Linked DNA regions of Ovis aries. The protein of the gene in region 2 interacts with the protein of the main gene of each other region in a pairwise test. Links are inferred from orthologs where the notes say so. Each region holds a gene or a part of one and is shown on either strand. Other genes may lie near its edges. The genes, in order: TXNL4A and RHEBL1.

The links.
Region 1: the proteins of RHEBL1 (region 2) and TXNL4A interact in a two-hybrid assay, tested with the Homo sapiens proteins (2 studies listed by BioGRID and IntAct). The link is inferred for Ovis aries from reciprocal best matches to the Homo sapiens genes RHEBL1 and TXNL4A.

Annotation. Positions count from the first base shown.
Region 1 is NC_056076.1:700,985-705,446, reverse strand, and holds the start of TXNL4A (thioredoxin-like protein 4A), read right to left. Parts: upstream 2,806-4,462; 5' UTR 2,727-2,805; intron 2,249-2,726; 5' UTR 2,234-2,248; coding exon 2,081-2,233; coding exon of another isoform or gene 2,002-2,080; intron 371-2,001; exon of another isoform or gene 310-370; intron 12-309; coding exon of another isoform or gene 1-11. UniProt on the Homo sapiens protein: Plays a role in pre-mRNA splicing as component of the U5 snRNP and U4/U6-U5 tri-snRNP complexes that are involved in spliceosome assembly, and as component of the precatalytic spliceosome (spliceosome B complex).
Region 2 is NC_056056.1:137,161,938-137,166,199, forward strand, and holds the start of RHEBL1 (GTPase RhebL1), read left to right. Parts: upstream 1-1,233; 5' UTR 1,234-1,433; coding exon 1,434-1,485; intron 1,486-2,095; coding exon 2,096-2,167; intron 2,168-2,502; coding exon 2,503-2,570; intron 2,571-2,841; coding exon 2,842-2,924; intron 2,925-3,014; coding exon 3,015-3,071; intron 3,072-3,271; coding exon 3,272-3,319; intron 3,320-3,655; coding exon 3,656-3,737; intron 3,738-3,908; coding exon 3,909-3,998; 3' UTR 3,999-4,262.

The DNA.
Region 1 (4,462 bases), on a different chromosome or scaffold from region 2:
ATCTGCCATTTCTGCAGAGGGAGATAGACAGTTAAATTGTTCTTTATACTAAAACCTTAGATTTCAAAAATTCCTGTTGAACGTCCCCAAAAAGGGCTTCCAAAATTATAAACTCATATTCTGCCCTTACACTAAGCAGAAAATAGAACATTAACATTTGTGTAACGCATTTCAAGTTTGCATTTTTAAAGACTATACTATTACATAGTATTAGAAGTTTATTAAAATAGAAATCGGGATAAAAGAAAAAGAATCACTTAAAAGACTAGAGAAAAATACTCCAAGTGAGCCCAATTAAACTGTTCTTACCAACAGGTTCCATTCCAAAAAGAGCCACCTGCTAGCAGTATAGCAATCTGGTCTCTGACCGCTACATAGGGATTAGAAAAGAACAATTCTGGTAAAAGTCCCTAAAAACTTACACTGACACAAAATCTGTCTCCTAGCTAAGAGTATCTTGCTGAGTTTTGCTCAGATATGAACAGCAAACAACCCTCACGCCTCTGCCATTCTAGCCTCGTGCTGAGGGCCACCGGGTCTGGACATCCCCTGATGCTTACTTGTCACCTGCAAGGCAGAACCCAGAACACCCACCTAAGTTACATCAGCGTCCACACAGCAGTGATTCACTTACTGAAACAGGGTCTTCATCCATCATCACTGACTTCTGCAGTCTCTGCCCTTAACCACTGTGGCTCAAGTCATGGGGAAATGACTTCTGGGCACCACCTCACTCCTGACCTCGGACCTGACAGGGAGGACCCAATTGGAAGAACCCTGCTCTCCTGAGTTCCCCAGGCATCTCTTCAAGCTCCCTCAACACCTTTCTGTCCAAGAGGAAGAGGAGGGTAAGGTTATCACCACAGACTCCTGCTCTGACTTGGATCTCCTTGAAGGGATTCAGAATTCCTGGGGGAGCTTCTGGATCTCATCTCAGATCTCCAGGATCAGACTCTCTGAGATGCACTTTCGGTGACAGACACAGAAAGATAGTCCCTAATGTTCAGAGTGCCATCACCCCTACCTCACTCTGCCTGTCCTACCAAAGAGGAGACAGTGAAAATTACTGATGGCAGGTCAGACTACTTTTCAATTCCTAAATACAAACTATATCCTTACACCTGTTACTCTTTACTCAAAGGAGTTATTTTAATCCAGCCCATACTAGCATATCTTACTCCTGTGAAATAAATGATGGCTTCAATGTTTCCCTTATTTTTATACTCTTTAATAAAATGAATAACCTCTCAAATTAACATTGAATATTAAACTTTTTATTAATACCCTAATATTTTTGCCTCTTGCCCTATTACTACAGTTGCAAAAATCTAAATCAAATTTACCTTAAAATACCCATGAGACAATTACAGAAAGAGAATTAAGCCCTAGTTACTCAACAGTACCCTACAATTGCTCTTTATTGTCAGCAAAGGGCCACAGACAACCCCCTGTACTAAATTTAAGGATTAGGAAAACTAGTTCTAACATTACAGTTCTACCTTTTCCCAGTGTTTCCTACACTGGTATCACTCTAAGCTATAAATCAAGTCACTTACAAAGAGCACCCTGGGGTAAAGAAGGGACTCAAAGAAAAAGAAGGGAATTTACTATGTTGTTACCATAGATGTTCTGCTCAATACATACAACAAACAAACACGGTACCAAAAAAAAGTCAAGTTTTTTAAACTAAGCCATTCAAAGTAAGCTCCTACACTCAGCCAAATGCTGCAAACGTGTTTTGCTCCTGGCACTATAGATGTAAATTTTTGAAAACACCTATGAGTTAAAACCGCTATAAATTAATAAGAATCACTTCTTCAAGGAGAGACATCATGAACCTCTTAAAAATTTGAGAATCTATGGAAACTTCTGCCAGTAAGGATATAAGCTATTCTGACCAATTTCAGGGAGCCCATCCTCATACTCCAAGGTATGTCTGTACTTCTGTGAATCCTACTGCTTCTCTTTAACCGGTGAACTGGCTGTACTTTTAATTCTTACCGGCAAAACAACAGCAATCCGACAGGATGCAAACACCAAACCTGGCGGCAGGACGTGACGGGAGGTGTGGCTGCTTTACCTTTTCAGCAATGCTGTACAGAACCTCATCCATCTTCATGCAGGTAGGGTCCCAGTCGTGCCCAAATCGAATGACGACCACGCGGTCTTCTTCCGAAAGGATGGCCTGATCAACCTGCCAGCCATTGTGCAGGTGCGGGAGCATGTACGACATCTTGAGCCAATGGGTCTGCGGGGGAGTGGAGGGAAATCACCGGCCAGTTCCTCCCAGCCCCCCCATGGCACACCCACGGGACCCCCCGCCCCACGGAGCCTCACCACGGGGGCCCCACCCCACGGAGCCTCACCACGGAGCCCACGGAGCCTCACCACCGAGCCCACGGAGCCTCACCACGGAGCCCACGGAGCCTCACCACGGAGCCCACGGAGCCTCACCACGGGGGCCCCACCCCACGGAGCCTCACCACGGAGCCCACGGAGCCTCACCACGGAGCCCACGGAGCCCCCGGCTCACGGGGGCTCACCCCGAGGGGCAGTCGATGCGCCGCCCGCAGGGCCAGGCCCGCGTCTACCAAGTTCCGACCCCGATCCCGCCACAGGAACGCCACTGTCCCCCGGCCAAGAAACCAAGGCGAGGGGACCCCTGGAATCGCACACCCGCGCATCACTCGCCGCCCCCTTCCCACCGTCTCCAGCCGCGCACCCACCTCTGCCCACACCGGACCCTCCCGCTCAGCAGTCCTTCCGGGCGCGGAGCGCTCCCACAGGCCGAGAGCGCCGGCGAGTGAGCCCGCCCGCCCACAGAGCGTGAGCGCCGGCGAGTGCGTGCGCGCGCCCGCAGAGCGTGTGCGCCGGCCAGTGCGTGCGCGCGCCCGGGCCGGGCAGGGGCGTGGACTCCGCTCAGGTACTGGGGCTGAAGGTGGGTTTAGTGTCATGAGCGTCTTAGAGGCGGCGGCTGCTTCAGACCTACTGTGTCTCCAGTGAGTCGGCGTTCAAGTTTCCTCGGTGCGACTGGGACCAGGGAGTGAACGAAGAGGATAACCTCTCTGAAGAAGGGCTCGTCGCCGTTCACTCCCACACAGAGCCCCCTAATTATTTTGGAGGCCCTGCTTTCCAGACGCAAGCACAGTTGCTTTACTTGTGAAAAGCGGTTCATTAACAGAAGAGTACTGGTAAGACGCAAATGCCCCCCAAATAAGTTATTGAAATTAGTATTTCTAAACATTTTTTGTTGTTCAGTTGCTCAGTCGTGTCCGACTCTGCGACCCCATGAACCGCAGCATGCCAGGCCTCCCTGTCCATCACCAACTCCCGGAGTCCACCCAAACCCATGACTATTGTGTCGGTGATGCCATCCAACCATCTCATCCTCTGTCTTCCCCTTCTCCTGCCCTCAGTCTTTCCCAGCATCAGGGTCTTTTCAAATGAGTCAGCTCTCCGCATCAGTTGGCCAAAGTATTGGAGTTTCAGCTTCAGCATCAGTCCTTCCAATGAACACCCAGGACTGATCTCCTTTAGGATGGACTGGTTGGAACTCCTTGCAGTCCAAGGGACTCTCAAGAGTCTTCTCCAACACCACAGTTCAAAAGCATCAATTCTTCAGTGCTCAGCTTTCTTTATAGCCCAACTCTCACATCCATACATGACTAATGGAAAAACTGTAGCCTTGACTAGACTGACCTTTGTTGGCAAAGTAATGTCTCTGCTTTTTAAAATGCTGTCTAGGTTGGTCATATTGTTATCGTAAAATTTAAATAGTATCAGTTCAGTCGCTCAGTTGTGTCCGACTCTTTGCGACCCCATGAATCACAGCACGCCAGGCCTCCCTGTCCATCACCATCTCCTGGAGTTCACTCAGACTCACGTCCATTGAGTCCGTGATGCCATCCAGCCATCTCATCCTCTGTCGTCCCCTTTTCCTCCTGCTCCCAGTGCTTCCCAGCATCAGAGTCTTTTCCAATGAGTCAACTCTTCGCACGAGGTGGCCAAAGTACTGGAGTTTCAGCTTTACCATCAGTCCTTCCAAAGAACACCCAGGGCTGATCTCCTTTAGAATGGACTGGTTGGATCTCCTTGCAGTCCAAGGGATCTCAAGAGTCTTCTCCAACACCACAGTTCAAAAGCATCAATTCTTTGGCGCTCAGCTTTCTTCACAGTCCAACTCTCTCATCCATACATGACCACTGGAAAACCATAGCCTTGACTAGACAGACCTTAGTTGGCAAAGTAATGTCTCTGCTTTTCAATATGCTATCTGGGTTGGTCATAACTCTTCTTCCAAGGAGTAGGCGTCTTTTAATTTCATGGCTGCAATCATAAAAGTTACCATTTTAGCTATATAGTTCAGCGGCATTTAGTATGTTCATATCATTGTGCAGCATTACACTCCAGATACTTATTTCGTTTAAAAGCTTGTTGAGATATTATTCACATACCATTTGTG
Region 2 (4,262 bases):
GAAAGATCTTTTAGAAACACAATTCAGATCATGTCATGCCCCAATTTACTTAATGACACCATCAACAGCCATCAACAGCAGCTTTCTAGGTATTTAGAATTAGCCCAAACTACTTTACATGGGCTAGCACCTGCGATCCTCTTAGACTTCATCTACTTTAGGCTAACTGGCTTTCTCTCTTTTCTGGATTTTCACAAACTTATTTCCATCCTAGTGCCGGTGGATTCTTCTGTCTGAATGTTTACCTAGCTGGCTCCTTACTGTCATTTGAACTTCACCTTGAATGGGGCTTCTTTTGAAATGAAAAGCCACTAATTTGTGTCACTAATGACTAATCCGTCATTTCTTATCACAGTTCCCCGCCCCCCCCCTTTATTTTTATTTATTTGTCTGCACAGGGTCTTAATTGCAGCATGTGGGATCTTAGTATCCTGACCAGGGATTGAACCCCCGCCCTCTGCATTGGGAACAAAGAGTACTCTGCCTTGGACCACCCAGAAGTCCCTTGTAACATTGCTTTTTTTGTTGCACTTAATATTATCTAACATTTACTGGTTTATGTTTGTTTCTTCCCAACTGAATTTTAAGCTTGTGAACTCAGAGACCTTATCTATTGTGTTCATCACTCTTATCTTCCAAGATGGAGCAATAACTAAAACATATAGTATATGCTTAATAAATATTTGTTGAACAAATAAATGCTTTGATTGTGATAACGATAACAGCTAAACCTCAGAGGACTTGGCCACAAATTCTAACAATTTTTCAAGGAATAAGAATCGCAGTTCCGAAGTTAGATCCTGGAAGACTACAGAAACCTTACAATAAAATATCTGGGGCTAAAGTTTGGAGGGGGATATATTACAACTTTGGCCTTTTTTCCCTACCCAAGGACTCCGGAGATCTTGCAAAAGGGAGACCTAGAATCTTTTAACCATAAATTCCAGCCCAGCCACAACGCTTTTCCATCCACGATTCTTTGCAGCCACTATTACTAGATTGCAAACGCGCAAACACCTCTAGGACCCCGGGTTCCTTTCTGTTTCTTTATGAATGAACCGGGTCTAGTGTGCGCATGCGCAACTCCTTTTTCTCCCGCTCCACGTGAGGCCCGCCCTTCCCTCCTGCTAACGGCTCCGCCCCTATCCTTTCTAATGGACCAATGGCGAGCGGCCTGGGGGGCGGAGCCCTGAGCGGCGCGGCAGTGTAGTTCCCCGGTCGCCCGGCTCCCTCGCCTTAGTCTTGCTGTGTTGTGATCACGTGGCCAGCTCCGGGCGCGGCGCTTGTTTTGGTTTCCCTCTAGCTTGCCCCTGGCAGCTTCAGAGTGAGCGACTTTCCTGTGCCGGTTGCCACACCTGACTGCACTGCGACTTTCTCTTCTTGGGGCTCTCTCAGCTCCAAGTTCTGCAAGCCCCTCGGGGCCGGCTCCTGCCATGCCGTTAGTTCGCTACAGGAAGGTGGTCATCCTCGGATACCGTTCTGTAGGTGAGTCTCCCTCTAGGGCAGAGCACCGATGCACCGCGGCTTTGTGGCCAGAGGAGGCGCACTGCCGCGGGAAGGCGACCCAGGGAGAAATGGTGGCATCCTTAGAACCAGCTTGTAGAGCGAGGACTGAAAGGTTGGAGTGGGAAAGGCTGGGGTGGTGGTAGTGTTCAAGGCGGCAGGAAGCTGGAGCATGGAAGAGTATACATGGGCTTACTGCTTGAACACCACAGTGGTCCTCAGCGTTCGTTACTCTGGGGGGGTGGAGATGGGGGCAGGATTTGGTGGCGGGGGCGCGGTCTGGGTGGGGCAAGTCTCAGGTGTCGGATGCAAGGCTGACTAAATCCTGGGGAATCCGGATCTTCCCAGGAGTTGGGTGGGGAAAGACTGCAGGAAAAGCTTCCTGCGTCGCTACTGTATGCATCCGGTGGCCAAGGTGCAGAGACCTGGGGCGAAAAGAGGGTGAAGGAGTCTATGGGAAAGCATTGCATGGGGCATTCACAGGCTAGGATGCTAATTCGGGGTTTCCTTTAGTCCAGGGCCACAGCCCGAAAGGACAGAGGAAATGAATGTGGATGGGTGATTTGGCTACAATTACCTCTGCTTCCCACAGGGAAGACATCTTTAGCACATCAATTTGTGGAGGGAGAGTTCCTGGAAGACTATGATCCTACTGTGGAGAATAGTGAGTAAATTTCTCCTCTTGGGGTGGGGTAGGGAGGGCTTAGGTGCCCCACCCAAGGCCACACTTTGGGATTTTCCGGGTGCCAAAGGGATGATTTAATTAGATATTAAATCGAGTCTCTTCTCTATCAATCCTGTTCTGTGAGTGGAGCTAGAGTGTGCATTTTCCAAGATACTGAGTCCAGGATAGTGCATGTGTAGACAATAAGAAGCCTAACATTGTATCTTAAGTTTCCTGGAGAGCTCCTTGAACCTGGCCCATCTATGTTAATATATAGGGGCACAGATTGCTCGCCGTACAAGGCACCTCACAGTCAAGTTTTCTTTTCTTTTCAGCTTACAGCAAGATAGTGACTGTTGGCAAAGATGAGTTTCACCTACACCTGGTGGACACAGCAGGGCAGGTACCAGTTTGGGGTAGGGTGTCTAAATGTGGCAGTTCAGTCCTGGGAGATGAAGTCTGGTAGCCTCTGAGGCTCATCTGTAAAGCAGTATTAAAAGCATTTTAGCAGTATTTCAGTGTGCAGTGTTGTTTGGAGCTACTCTATAAATACTTGTTGGATAGAAGTGACCGGAGTAGGGAGTGCCACAGGGAGGGTCCCCAGGATGCAGCCCACCAAACTTGGCCATCTGAGTCTTGTGAATCAAGGTATTGATATTTCTGTTTCTTGTCAGGATGAGTACAGCATTCTGCCCTATTCATTCATCATTGGGGTCCATGGTTATGTACTTGTGTATTCTGTCACCTCTCTGCATAGGTAAGTGACCGAGGTTGAGAGTGGTGGACTTGGGAAGACCTGAGGGCTATCCCAGAATAAAATTGTAAGATTCTTTTCTTGTGTTTAAAGCTTCCAAGTCATTGAGAGTCTGTACCAAAAGCTACATGAAGGCCACGGGAAAACCCGGTACGTGGCACAGGGGATAAAGACATAGTGTGGACACCACGGAAGACGGAGGGCAGAGGGGAGTATTGATCCAAATTAAGGAGGAAGCCGGAACATCGATCCTATCTGGTTTGATGGGGAGTTGTCCAGCTATGATGTGAAGGAGGTTGGGGTCCATGGGGAACAGAGGGGATTCTGTTGTAACTGCTGTCTCCTCCCAGGCTGCCGGTGGTGCTGGTGGGAAACAAGGCCGATCTCTCTCCAGACAGGTATGGAAATCTCTGTAGCTTAAGGCAAAGGAAAGTGTCTAGGAGTGAGTCAGGCTCTTGTCCTGGCTCTGCCACTGATTTAAACCAGTTGTTTTACCTCTTCGTTTCTAACTTGAAGGTTGAGACAAAATGATCCTTCTATCTCAAAAGCTATAATTTCATATTTCAAGCCTCAGTCCTAGGTTCCTTTGTTTTCTTGTATTTTCTTCTTCCACAGACGTTCTCCCAAACCTTGGAATGAGATGAGTCAGAGGAAGTCTAGTTTCTGTAAAGATTTTTCAGAGAGCATGGGGCCCATTGCTATTTTTCATTTTCATGTCCTGAATTTGCTTCTAGGGAGGTCCAGGCTGTTGAGGGGAAGAAGCTGGCAGCATCCTGGGGTGCAACATTTATGGAGTCATCTGCTCGGAATAATCAGGTATTGGGCCTGAAGAGTAGGAGGGTGGTGGGGGCAGCAGTGTTTTTCTTTTTATGCCACTGCTTGGTGGTGGGGATGGTGGGGGAGTGGGGCATTCACCTAAGAGTTGGGTAGTATTGGCAGTGAACTCAACCAATTTTTTTTTTTGCCCTGAATCCTTATCCCTTGCAGCTGACTCAAGGCATCTTCACCAAAGTGATCCAGGAGATTGCCCGGGTGGAAAATTCATATGGGCAAGAGCGCCGCTGCCATCTCATGTGAGCCTGGAGATGAGCCCTTGAGCAAGGGGCAGCTGCCTTGATTCTGCCCCTGGTACTTTCCAAGCTCCAGTGGGGGCTTGTGGGGGCGCTCTCAGGACTTCACGGGTTTGTTTGGTTGCCAGCTGTGTCCCTGGCCCTCTAGGCACACAGTGAGGTACCCTCATGTTTGCACACTTACCCAGGCTCCAGTGGCCTGGTTGTCCATGTTTACAAAGAGGCAAGGATGTCTCATGGGCACTGTCCTCTAGCTCTGTTTTTGCTAAAT